3 linked regions of the Oryctolagus cuniculus genome follow. The protein of the gene in region 1 interacts with the protein of each later gene in a pairwise test. Links are inferred from orthologs where the notes say so. Each region holds a gene or a part of one and is shown on either strand. Other genes may lie near its edges. The genes, in order: SDCBP2, PRPF38A and C6H1orf35.

Region 1 (3,739 bases):
CTCGTGGGGCTGCGCTTTGGGGACCAGATCCTGCAGATCAACGGGCAGGACTGCAGCGGGTGGAGCACAGACAAAGTCCACCGCGTGCTGAAGAAGGCGTTAGCCGAGAAGATCGTCATGGTTGTTCGTGACAGGTGAGTGGCCAGGCCCGAGGACCGCTCATTGTGACCCAAGCTGTGTCCCCAGCCAGGCCCAGCTCACCATGTATCCCCCGCCAGGCCATTCCAGCGGACTGTGACCATGCACAAGGACAGCGCAGGCCATGTGGGCTTCTTCATCAAGAAGGGCAAGATCACCTCCTTGATCAAAGGGAGTTCCGCAGCCCGCAATGGGCTGCTCACCAACCACTACGTGTGTGAGATCAACGGGCAGAATGTCATCGGACTCAAGGTAGGCGACGCCGCAGGGCTGCTGCTTCCACACCCTCAGGCTGCCGTGAGCAGGAGACAAAACAGGGTGCCCAGTGCATAGGAAGCACTCAATAGACAGCAGCTGTGTACTGACCTGGGCGGCCAGCCGTGCCACGGGAAGAAGGCGAGGATGAGTGTGCCCAGGTGGCCGCGGGCTGCATGGCCACCCCTTTCCTTTGGTGGCCCTTGGTGGTGGCCTCCATACCCCTGTTCATAGGAGTCTTTTAGAAAATGGTGCTCATCTCAGGAGTGGGGTGTTGCATCGCTACAAAGTGAGAAGGAGCAGGGGGTGAGGGGGTGTAGGGCCAGGGCTGGAGGCCGAGTGTCTTCTGGGCCCACGGGCAGGGAGGAGCCATGCGAACCTGTGAACCCAGCACCACATGAGCCGAGAGTGGCTCCTCATTTGGCCTGTGATTTCTGTGAGTGCCCCTTCCCACCCTGCAGCCACAGCTCCCTCTGCAGAAGGGCCTGCATGGCTCAGTCTTCTCATCTGGTCGTCTGCTCCCCACCGGGGCCATCACCGAGCCACCCAGGCACAAGTCTGCCTCTGTGTGCTTGGCAGGCTCCTCACTGCCTTGGAGACTTGTTCAGGTGGCTCACGCCTGCCCAGGGTGTCTCCTGCTGCCACCCCCTGGCCCGTCGTCCAGGGTCGGGCAGGGTGCTGCCCAGGAAGCTCACCAGAGTTAAAACGTCTGTTCAGGGTTACAGGTTCTGAACAGCTTGAGCTTTCCCACCACAGAGACCCCTGCTCCTTTCAAAGCTTCCAGCTCTGTGATCTCAGCTCTTCTCCGAGCAGCCATTCAGAGCTGTGGCTCTGTCCTTCTCACTGGTGGCCCAGGATGTGGTCATGACCTTGTCCACTGCACCACAGGGCCTGCTTTTAGGGACTGGATTCATCCTTTGCTTGGGCCACTGCAGCTCTGCGTCTCGGGATTGTTTATCTTTGCAAAGTTTGGTATTTCCACCCTGCGGCCATTACCAGTCCTTATTAGCACACCTTCTTCTTTGTTCTGGAACAACTAAGGTGAGCATATCTGGATGGCACAGGTGCGAAGTGCAGGGCGCTCGGCTGGAGTTGGGGCCAGAGGCTCTACCAGGCCCTAGCCTCAGGGTTTGGACTGTCTGGCACTCCTTGCTCAGTAACTGTTAATTATCTTTTAAAAATCATTTATATATTTATTTGAGAGGCAAAGGGACAGGAGAGAAAGAAGGAGATGGAGAGAATGCTTCCATCTGCAGGTTCACTCCCCAAATGCATACAGTGACGGGGCTGGGCCAGGTGAAGCCAGGAGCTAGGAGCTCAGCCCAGGTCTCCCATGTGGGTGGCAGGGACCCAAGTACTTGAGCTATCACCTGCTGCCTCCCACGGTCTGCATTAGCCGGAAGCTGGAGCCAGGAGCTGGAGGCAGGACTTGAACTCAGGTACTTGGCTGTGGGATGCAGGTGTCTTAACCACTAGGCTAACCCCTCCCCCGCTGTGCCTTTTCATTTCTTGTTCTCTCACCATGATCTGAGTGGCTTCTGTCAATGACACATAAGAGGAAGGGGGTCCCCAGGCTGGATCAGGCTGGCCAGACAGCAGGGTCCTAGGGCAGGCAGGTGCACCTGATGTCTCCCACTGGATGGTTACTCCCTTGTGCTTTGGGCCAGAACCCAAGTGTTCCTGGTGCCAGAGAGATGGGATGGAAAGGGAAGGAGAATGAGGTTTGTGTGGCTGTGCTGTGTGTTGGGGCCACAGCATGTGTGCACCCCGTGCCTTCAGGAGAGTCTGGGGAGCGGCCCACCTACTTGACCCGGGTCCTGAGGTGGGAGCCCACAGTCTTGCTCAAGAAAGACCTCACCTGCCAGGGTCGGAGGCAGCCTGGCATCAGGTGTCAGTGCCACCCTCTAGCATCCACACAGGGGCCTGCAGAGCTGCCCAGGCTCCTGGTTCCCAAGAGTGACTGCTCACTGGTTTCCTTTTCAGGACAAAGATATCACAAAGATTTTGGGCACAGCTGGGAATGTCATCACCCTGACCATCATCCCCTCTGTGATCTATGAGCACATGGTCAAAAGGTAAGCCTGCCACCTGCCTGCAGTTCACCTTGCACCTCCCGGCCCAGCTGGGCCTGCCCTGCCCTCCCCTCCTCTTTCTCTTCCTCCAAGGGGGGCTGTTGGCTGCTGGAGATTTGGTCTCAGATCTGGGAGTGAAGGCCCACAGTGGGTGCACAGGCTCTGCGGGGTGGGCAAGGGGAGGACCTGGCAGCCTTGCCCACTGTCACTCTTGCTATCTCCAGGTTGTCCCCAACCCTGCTCCACCGCACCATGGACCACTCCATCCCAGATGTCTGAAGCCACGAGGCCTCGGGCCTGCCCACCGTCCTGCAGGTGGGGGCAGCTGCCCTGGGCTGACAGACAGATTGCAGCTGGCTTCTGCCTGGGGTTGGGGCCACCGTAGGGGTGGGCAGCGTTCCAGGCGGGTGGACATGAGCTCGGGAAGGGATCCTTCCATTATGCACAAAGCTCTCCTGGGAGTCTGAGACACTTGGCTGGGCTGAGGCACTTGGTCCTGGTTTAAATGCTGGGCATGTAGGCAGCCAGCTGCACACTTTTCAAGATTCCGCCTGAACCAGGAAAACAGTGTTGAGAACTCTCAGTGAGAGCGTTGCTTTGCCCTTATGTGATCTTCCACACGGTCTGCACGCAGCCGTAATCCTCACTGTCTTCTGATTAAAGATTTGATTTCAAACAAGATCTTCTTCTCAAAGATCACAGAAATGCATTGTCTCATGACAAGCCAGGGCTGGTTTTCTTTGAAACTGACCCAGGCTGCGTCGCTGCCCCCAAGAGCGGTGATTTGGTTCTGTCCGTCACTTGCTGCCTGCTGGCTTGGCGCAGGGATGGCTGGAACTGGGGGGACTGTGAGGACTGTGGGGCAGCAAGGCTGGGAGGGGAAGCACTAGCTTTGGGGGTCCCCCAGAGTGGCCCTGGCTGCTTTCTGCATCTGGAAATGGGCATGAGAACCCACCTCAGAGGCCGCTGGGGAAGGCAGTGTGCTGTCCTCACGGTGCCCGGCAGCATCTTACGCCAAGGGTGGGTGGAGGGAGGGGGCTGTAGACCCTGTGCCTGACTTCCCATGGGAGTGGCACCCCGCGCCTTGCAGGGCCTTAGGGGCTCTCTGCTTCCCCCTGCATCAGGGCAGAGGCTGCCACCTCGCTTTCCCTGTGCTGGGGAAGACACCAGCCCCGCAGCCCCGCCTCCTTAGAAAACCACCGCGATGTAAAGAAATAGCCGAGGGCCTCGCCATGTTTTCATGCTTTAATTCAGAGCTGTCTGAGGCAGGTACA
Region 2 (3,600 bases), on another chromosome or scaffold:
CTGACTCTATAAATAAATACATAAGTAAATCTTTAAAAAAAAAGATTAATATTTTATTTATTTGGAAGGGAGAGTTACAGAGAGAGAAGAGACAGAGCACGAGAGAGATCTTCCATCTGCTGGTTCATTTTCCAAATGGCTGCAACAGTGGGGCTGGGCCAGGCAAAAGCCGGGAGCCCAGAGCTTCTTCCTGATTTCTTACAGGAGTGTAGGGCCCAAGAACTTGGGCTATCCTCCACTGCTTTCTTTCCCAGGCGCATTAGCAGAAAGCTGGATGGGAAGTGGAGCGCAACTGAGTCTCCAACTGGCGGACCCATGTGGGATGTCTGCATCACAGATGGAGGCTTAACCTCTACACCCCAAAGTCGGCCCCAGAAATAAACCTTAAAAAAAACAAAAAACCAATGAGACACGGTAACTTATTATCTCACACCGGAAACCGTTGACATTCACAACCCATCTAATATGCCAGGGAAGGGGATATCGTTAATCATATTGATTGACAGCTCAAAGCAGACCTAATCATCGTAGTTTCACAAACAACACACAGGATAAGAATCTCGCCATCTTTTCCCACTCAGTCCAGTGCTTTTTCCAGCTGTCACGACAGAAGGTCCCCCTACTGCGGGTTGGACTGGAAGTATCACTGAGTTTCCCTCCTGGAAAGAAGATGCGGGGGAACCCGGCAGTTCAGAGCAGCTCATCTTCAAGAAGACGACCTGGATAATGAGCCCTGGCCGCTAGGTCACAAACGACCCCGAGCTCCCTCTCTGGCCCCAACTACTCTATCCGTAAAATGGAGCGATAGCATCCGCTCCGCCGCTCTGCAGTGTTTCGCACACTACAGCTCAAAGACGGAAACAACGTGAGTCCTGGACAAAGGCAACGCAAATGGAAGGAAAGACTAAAATCCTCAGTGAAGAGATTAAGGGCGCTGAAGGCAGGCACGCACGCGCCTCTCTACTGTTGGCTTCTGGTTCCCCAGGGCGAACTGTGCGTCCTTAGCGGAGCAGGAAGCCTTCTAGGAATCCGACGTGAAAGAGGAACTCTCCTAGCGGGAGTGCGAACAGTGGCTGTCTGCTGCCGGGTGAATTAAGGATAAATGAGTCTACAGAGGAAAACGGCGGTTTTAGGGGCTCAGGTCGCCTTCCAGTCCGCGCGATGCACACTCACCGGGCGCCAACACTTCTCGCTCGAACCGCAAGCCGTTCGCTTCCCTCCGCTCCTGCTTCGGGAGCTCCGGGGGCTGCAGCAACTCTCCACAGCAACTTTCCACAGCTGCGATCCTCCTTTCACAGCCACCGGTCGCACGCGAGAGCCAAAGCTACCGCTCGGGTAGGAATAGAAGGAATGTGGAGAAAAAAAAATTCCCGCCAAACGGCGTAGCCCCGCCCCCAGACCGCCCTCGCGTTACGCCACTGGCCCGGTCGCCCCGCCCACCCCGGGGGACGCACGGCGTACTGCCGCCTACGTGCGGCGGCCATGGTGGATCCGCGGCGCAACGCGCCTCGCGGGCGTTCTCCGGGCTGTGGTGTTTCCGCTTTCAAGATGGTCGTCTAAGCAACCGAAGAGGCTTCCTCCTCCTCCTCCCCCTCTGAGACTCGGCGGTTTTTTTTAACTCTGGATGTGACGCATTAAAGAACACGACGGAAGTGGGGCTGAAGGCGTTCTAAAATGGCGAACCGTACTGTGAAGGATGCGCATAGCATCCACGGCACCAACCCTCAGTACCTGGTGGAGAAGATCATTCGGACGCGAATCTATGAGTCCAAGTACTGGAAAGAGGAGTGCTTTGGGCTTACGGGTGAGCGGGATCGCGCGAGGCGTGGCTCCTTAGTCCCGACTGGGCGCCGGGGGGCTGGGGGAGAGCGTGTCAGTCGTTCAGACAGGAGCGCCAGCTGTTTCCTCGTCTTTTGTGGATCGTGGGGGGCACAGATGAATCTGATAGGGCCTCGCCGTATTCTGAAGGGTTTCTCGAGTTCTTGGAGTCATTCCCCGCTTAACGGTGGCGTGCAGGGTTCTGAGCAATCTTCGGCTCAGGAACCTACTGTAGCTCCTTGACGTATCCTCTTGAGCTATCAAAGGGCCGCAAGTGTCCGACACAGTATTCTTCATCTCAGTGCCCTTAACTGCGGGCCAGCTCACTATTTCCGGGTGCGAGTCCTAATTTGAATTGCAGTACTGAGGACTTTGAAGCTAGTCTTTTAATCTTCTTTACCCCCCATTTTCCTCAAGTGGAAATGGGGACAGTGCCAGATACTTCCTCACGACATGAGAAGATTGAGATAATGTGAAATGCTTAGATATCCGGGCATATAGTGATATTTCAGTGTGTATGGATTACTGTCATCATTAGTATTACCATTAAAACACACTTGTTCTATTACACTACTGGTGACTTCTGAGGAGCGCTGAACCTTGAACCAATGCCACTTCCAACCAGGAAAATCTTACCCCTAATATGATTGAGGTGTTGCTATTTGTTTTTGTTTTTTAGCTGAACTGGTGGTCGATAAAGCCATGGAGTTAAGGTTTGTGGGTGGTGTCTATGGTGGCAACATAAAACCGACTCCTTTTCTGTGTTTAACCTTGAAGATGCTTCAAATTCAACCTGAGAAGGATATCATTGTAGAGTTTATCAAAAATGAAGATTTCAAGTGAGTGCAATATTGACTAATACAAAAAGTTCAGTGGTTCAAAATTGGGATTTTGTTAAGAGTTCTTTACACAACATTTTAACATTTCTCATTTCCACAAAGAGTTCCACTCTAGGTTTTTTTTCTTAAGTTTGTGTTTTCTCTGTTCTGATTGTGATAATCTGCTTTACTTTCTTAGTCATGATCATTTTCCCCCTTTAATAGAATTTCCCATTCCCTGAACATATATTATGTAGAAGTGAGGGCCTAACAGGATAAGCACTGGACACTCACAAGTGGAGAAAACAACAGAGGGTAGTAATTATGAGATGTTAGATCTAGGTTCATGTCCAGACTCTTAATAATTGTAACCTTGGAAAAGTTACTTAATTTTCAAATCTTTGCTTTCTTTTTCTGTAAAAAGGAGACAAATACCTACACAGAGGATTTATGTGAGAGTTGAAGGTGGTGCTTGCAAATTTGTCAGCACAGTGCCTGTTGCATGGAAAACAACTGGAAAGTATCAGCTGCTCTTAACTATTTTATCCCATTCTCAAGAAGCTCACAGAGCAGTATAGAGACAGACATGATAATGGAATATTGTGTATTATATCCTAAGGGCTTTACATATAATTATTCATTTGTCTTCCTAGCAACACTGTAAAAGTATTATCCCTTTATTACAAAGTAGGAAACTGAGGCAGAGATTAAATAATTTGTCTATGGTCAACAGCTAGTAAATGGCAAAACTGACTCCAGAACTCATATTTACTAGTCTCCTTCTCATATAAAGAAGCTGTTGGGTTTCAAAAGCCTGGTAGTTATCTATGTGGAGAGCTGAGTAAGTAGTTGGATATAGGAGGAAGGGAAAAGGAAGGAATCTTTCAAAACATTGGCAGCTACAAAATAGCTGATTTTTGTTAGGCACTTATAATATGCTTTAGCACTTTGACCATTTCTTATT
Region 3 (3,816 bases), on another chromosome or scaffold:
AGTCACAGGCTCAGAGTGACGACAGCGACCCAGGGCCAGCTCTGAGCAGCTTCTTGGTTGCTCTGGACTTTCTTGTTAGTAATGTTACAGCAGTTTAAGGCACACACTTAAACGAGTTTATGGGGCCAGCACTGTGGTTAAGCACAGGTTAAGCCTCTGCCTGTGACAGCAACATTCCATATGGCTATCGGTTCGAGTCCCAGCTGCTCCTCTTCAGTCCAACTCTGCTGCGGCCTACGAGAGCAGTGGAAGATGGCTCAAGTGCTCGGGCCCTTGCACCCACGTGGGAGACCCTGAAGAAACTCCTGGCTCCTGATCCGCGCAGCTCCAGCCGTTGTGGACATTTGGGGAGTGAACCAGTGGATGGAAGACCTCTTTGTGTCTCCCTCTGTCTGTAACGCTGCCTCTCAAATAAATAAATAAATAAATCTCTTAATTTTTTATGTGATAGAACGGGGCGGAGCGGAGGGCGACAGAGAGAGAAAGCAGGAGCCCTCCATCTGCTGGTTCACTCCCCCAAACACCCGCAGCAGCCGGGGCGGGGCGGCAGCCGCAAGCGGGTGCCCCGCGCCGCGGCCAGCAGCGAGCTGGCGGGAGCGCGGCGCCAGGCCGAGCAGTCGCCGGGCTGCTCACAGCCCGCTGGCCTGCCACCTGACCCTGTCTGGGGGCTAGGGGTCTGCGGGCCCCCAGACGCTGCTGGAACGCCTCGTGCAGAATGGCTGCGAGGCCGGCCTCCGCTTCAACTTAGCTGAGCCCCCTACGGGGAATCAGGCTGTCTCCGAGAGACCCCTGCTATTGGCATGCAGTATGTGGAACCCGGTCCAATGGGCACCCCCACAGAAAGACCCAACGAAGACAGCAAAGCCTTAAAACCGTGTGCACTTCCCGAAAGCCTTGCAAAACGGGAAGCAAACTTCCCACTTCTTTGCAAGCTGTTCCAGCTTATTTCCATACTAAGCTGAGGAAAAGAACCCACCAAACTCGCTCCGGTAACCGCTGTCCCCTCCCGCGACGCCCAGCGGCTGCGGGGAGAGCGCGGCCTGGGGGGCAGGGGCCCTCGCCGGAGCCGCACCCGGAACCTGGTCCTCCTGGGTCTGTATCGCAGCGATCGGCGGGGACTTCAGGCAGCGGCCCCGCGCCCACCCGGGCTCCACAGCCCCTCCAGCGCCCGCTCGGCGACGGGGCACTGCGCAGGCGCGGGGGCCCAGTCGGGCGGTGCCTGCGTCGGTGCTCGCTGCGAGGTGGGTGGTGGTGCGCAGGCGCGCGGGGCCGGGCCGGGGCGTGACGCGCTGGCAGGTGCGACGCCCCGGGGCCCGGCGCAGGCGTGACGTCGCGGCGCGGCTAGGCGCGGCGACAGGCCAGAAGCCGGCGACAGTCATCGGGGCCCGTGCGGCGGCACTGTAGCCATGTTCGGGTCCAGCCGCGGCGGGGTGCGCGGCGGGCAGGACCAGTTCAACTGGGAGGACGTGAAGACCGACAAGCAGCGGGAGAACTACCTGGGCAACTCGCTGATGGCGCCGGTGGGCCGCTGGCAGAAGGGCCGCGACCTCACCTGGTACGCCAAGGGCCGGGAGCCGCGCGCAGGACCCAGCCGCGAGGAGGAGCTGGCGGCCGTGCGGGAGGCGGAGCGCGAGGCGCTGCTGGCCGCGCTGTGAGTGTCCCCGGGGGCGGCGGAGGGCGCGGGCGGAGGGCGCGGGCGGTCGACGGCGCCCTGACGGTGCCCCGGCCCTCTCGCAGAGGCTACAAGAACGTGAAGAAGCAGCCCACCGGCCTGAGCAAAGAGGTAACCGCAGGCGGGGGCTGAGCTGGGGGCCGAAACGGGGGTCGCGGGGGCGGGGGCCGGGCGGCGCCGGGCCCTCTCTCCCGGCCCTGTGCGCACCCCGCAGGACTTCGTGGAGATCTGCAAGCGGGAAGCCGGCGACCCGGAGGAGAAGGGCGTGGATCGGCTGCTGGGGCTGGGCAGCGCCAGGTGCGGCAGTCCCGGGGAGGAGGAGCCGGGTGCCCAGCGGGGAGCAGGGTCCGGGCGGTGATCCAGGGGCGTCCTCACCTCCGTGTCCCCGCAGTGGCTCCGCGGGCCGAGTGGCGCTGTCCCGGGAGGACAAAGAGGCTGCCAAGCTGGGGCTGTCGGTGTTCACGGTAACCTCTTTGCCCCAGCCCGAACGCGCTGGGGTCCTCGGGGCGGCGGGGGGGGGGGATGGGGGACGCCCAGGGCGGGTCTCCCCGAGGCGTGGGGTCAACCTGCGCGCCCTCGCCAAAGCGCCGCTTCCCCCGCAGCACCACCGCGTGGAGAATGGCGGGCGGGGGACCTCGCCGGCCTCAGCCAGGAGGAAACCGCGCGCCGAGGACAAGGCGGAGCCTGAGTAAGGGGCATTCGTGAGCCGGAGTTCCAGGGGTGTGTGTGTGTAGTAGGGGCGGGGGTGCAGCTCGGGATTTCTTCCCACAGACGTGTGCTCAGAGACGGCACCCACGAAAGGGCCAGGATTGGTTGGCCTTGAGCCCCTCTTTGGGCTGCCCTCGGCGGGCGAGCAGGGCCGGTCTCCATCTCCAGGCTGAATGTGCCTGCCGAGAGGGGTTGGGGTCAGGACAGCTGCTGAGCTGGGGTGAGGCGCAGGCAATGGCGCCTGGCCCTGGCTAGCTTGGGGGGAGGCAGAGCTGAGTCACTGCTGGATCTGCTGGGGAGTTTTTCTGCCACAGTGAGGGTGCGGCTGCTGGCCACACGTGACCGCCCAGCACTTTGAGATGTGGTCTGTTTGGCTGAGGGGCTGACCAGGACCAAGCATGAAGAGGCCGCTACGTTGGTGGCTGCCGCCCTGGACAGCACAAGCGTGTCCATCTTCCTCCCCTGGCCGGGACAGAACTGGCCGCCTGTGCTTGCTGTCTCCTGTCTCCCGAGGGCTGGGGCTGAGGCCCTTTCTGCACCCCCCTTGCAGCTCTGAGAGCCACAGGAAAAGCAAGAAAGAGAAGAAGAGAAAGAAAAAGAAGAAACACAAGAAACAAAAGAAGAAAGACAAGGAGCACAGGAGAGGGGCCACTTCCTCTTCCTCGTCCCCATCCCCTGCTCGGTAGGGCAGCCCAGGGGGAGGGGGACTGGAGCTGGGCTAGATGGGCAGCTGCCGCACGCTGGGTCCTTTCTGAGTGACCATCCCTGTCTGCCCAGGCCTGAACCCCGCCAGCGTGACTGCAACTCCCCCTGCTGCAAGAAGAGGCGGTGTGACAGCAGGGACAGTGGGAGGAGCCCTTCCCGCCAGCGGCACGCCAGAGACTCTGATGCCTGAGACCCTGCCTTGGAGGCCTGTGCAGGTCCCGGGGGCACCCCCCTCAGGGTGCCCTTCCTGTCCAGGTCGAGGCAGAGGGACCCTAGCCTTGCCTGCTGGGCTTCAGGAGCAGGGGCCTGTTTTGTGAACTTCCTCCAGGTCCCAGTGAAGGGAGACTGCGAGCCCAGGGTGTCCCTGTGGCCCTGCCTCAGCCCCCGGCCCTCCCAGCACAGGGGAGCCTGTATTCCAGGACAGGTCTCTTCTCTGTCCTGTCTCCCTCTGCAGCCTCCCCAGGCCGGCCCTCCCGAGGCTGTAGCTATGGCTGAGTGTGGCTACTTCTATTTTTCTTTACATCAGTTTTGTACTTCAGTTTATATTAAAAGCAGAGTGTATCATCACAGAATGGAAGGTGGCCCCAGCACCTGTCCTTCCTGTCCAGGGCCCTGGTGACCGCTAACACCCTAAGGGAGCCCCTCGTGCTCCCACGTGGCCAGGGTAGAACCGTGGGAGGACCCCCCCAGAGGGACGACAGTGTCGGGGCAGCTTGGGAGTGGGGGGCCTG

What was found.
Region 2: the proteins of SDCBP2 (region 1) and PRPF38A interact in binary tests that used the Homo sapiens proteins (3 or more experiments, as listed by UniProt). The two-hybrid records come from large-scale screens. The link is inferred for Oryctolagus cuniculus from reciprocal best matches to the Homo sapiens genes SDCBP2 and PRPF38A.
Region 3: the proteins of SDCBP2 (region 1) and C6H1orf35 interact in binary tests that used the Homo sapiens proteins (3 or more experiments, as listed by UniProt). The two-hybrid records come from large-scale screens. The link is inferred for Oryctolagus cuniculus from reciprocal best matches to the Homo sapiens genes SDCBP2 and C1orf35.

Annotation. Positions count from the first base shown.
Region 1 is NC_091442.1:27,245,530-27,249,268, reverse strand, and holds the end of SDCBP2 (syntenin-2), read left to right. Parts: coding exon 1-134; intron 135-218; coding exon 219-390; intron 391-2,376; coding exon 2,377-2,468; intron 2,469-2,689; coding exon 2,690-2,744; 3' UTR 2,745-3,146; downstream 3,147-3,739.
Region 2 is NC_091438.1:120,515,045-120,518,644, reverse strand, and holds the start of PRPF38A (pre-mRNA-splicing factor 38A), read left to right. Parts: upstream 1-1,443; 5' UTR 1,444-1,674; coding exon 1,675-1,804; intron 1,805-2,497; coding exon 2,498-2,657; intron 2,658-3,600. UniProt on the Homo sapiens protein: Involved in pre-mRNA splicing as a component of the spliceosome.
Region 3 is NC_091437.1:246,984-250,799, reverse strand, and holds the start of C6H1orf35 (multiple myeloma tumor-associated protein 2), read left to right. Parts: upstream 1-1,305; 5' UTR 1,306-1,406; coding exon 1,407-1,651; intron 1,652-1,737; coding exon 1,738-1,783; intron 1,784-1,886; coding exon 1,887-1,969; intron 1,970-2,063; coding exon 2,064-2,136; intron 2,137-2,274; coding exon 2,275-2,360; intron 2,361-2,930; coding exon 2,931-3,062; intron 3,063-3,157; coding exon 3,158-3,275; 3' UTR 3,276-3,816.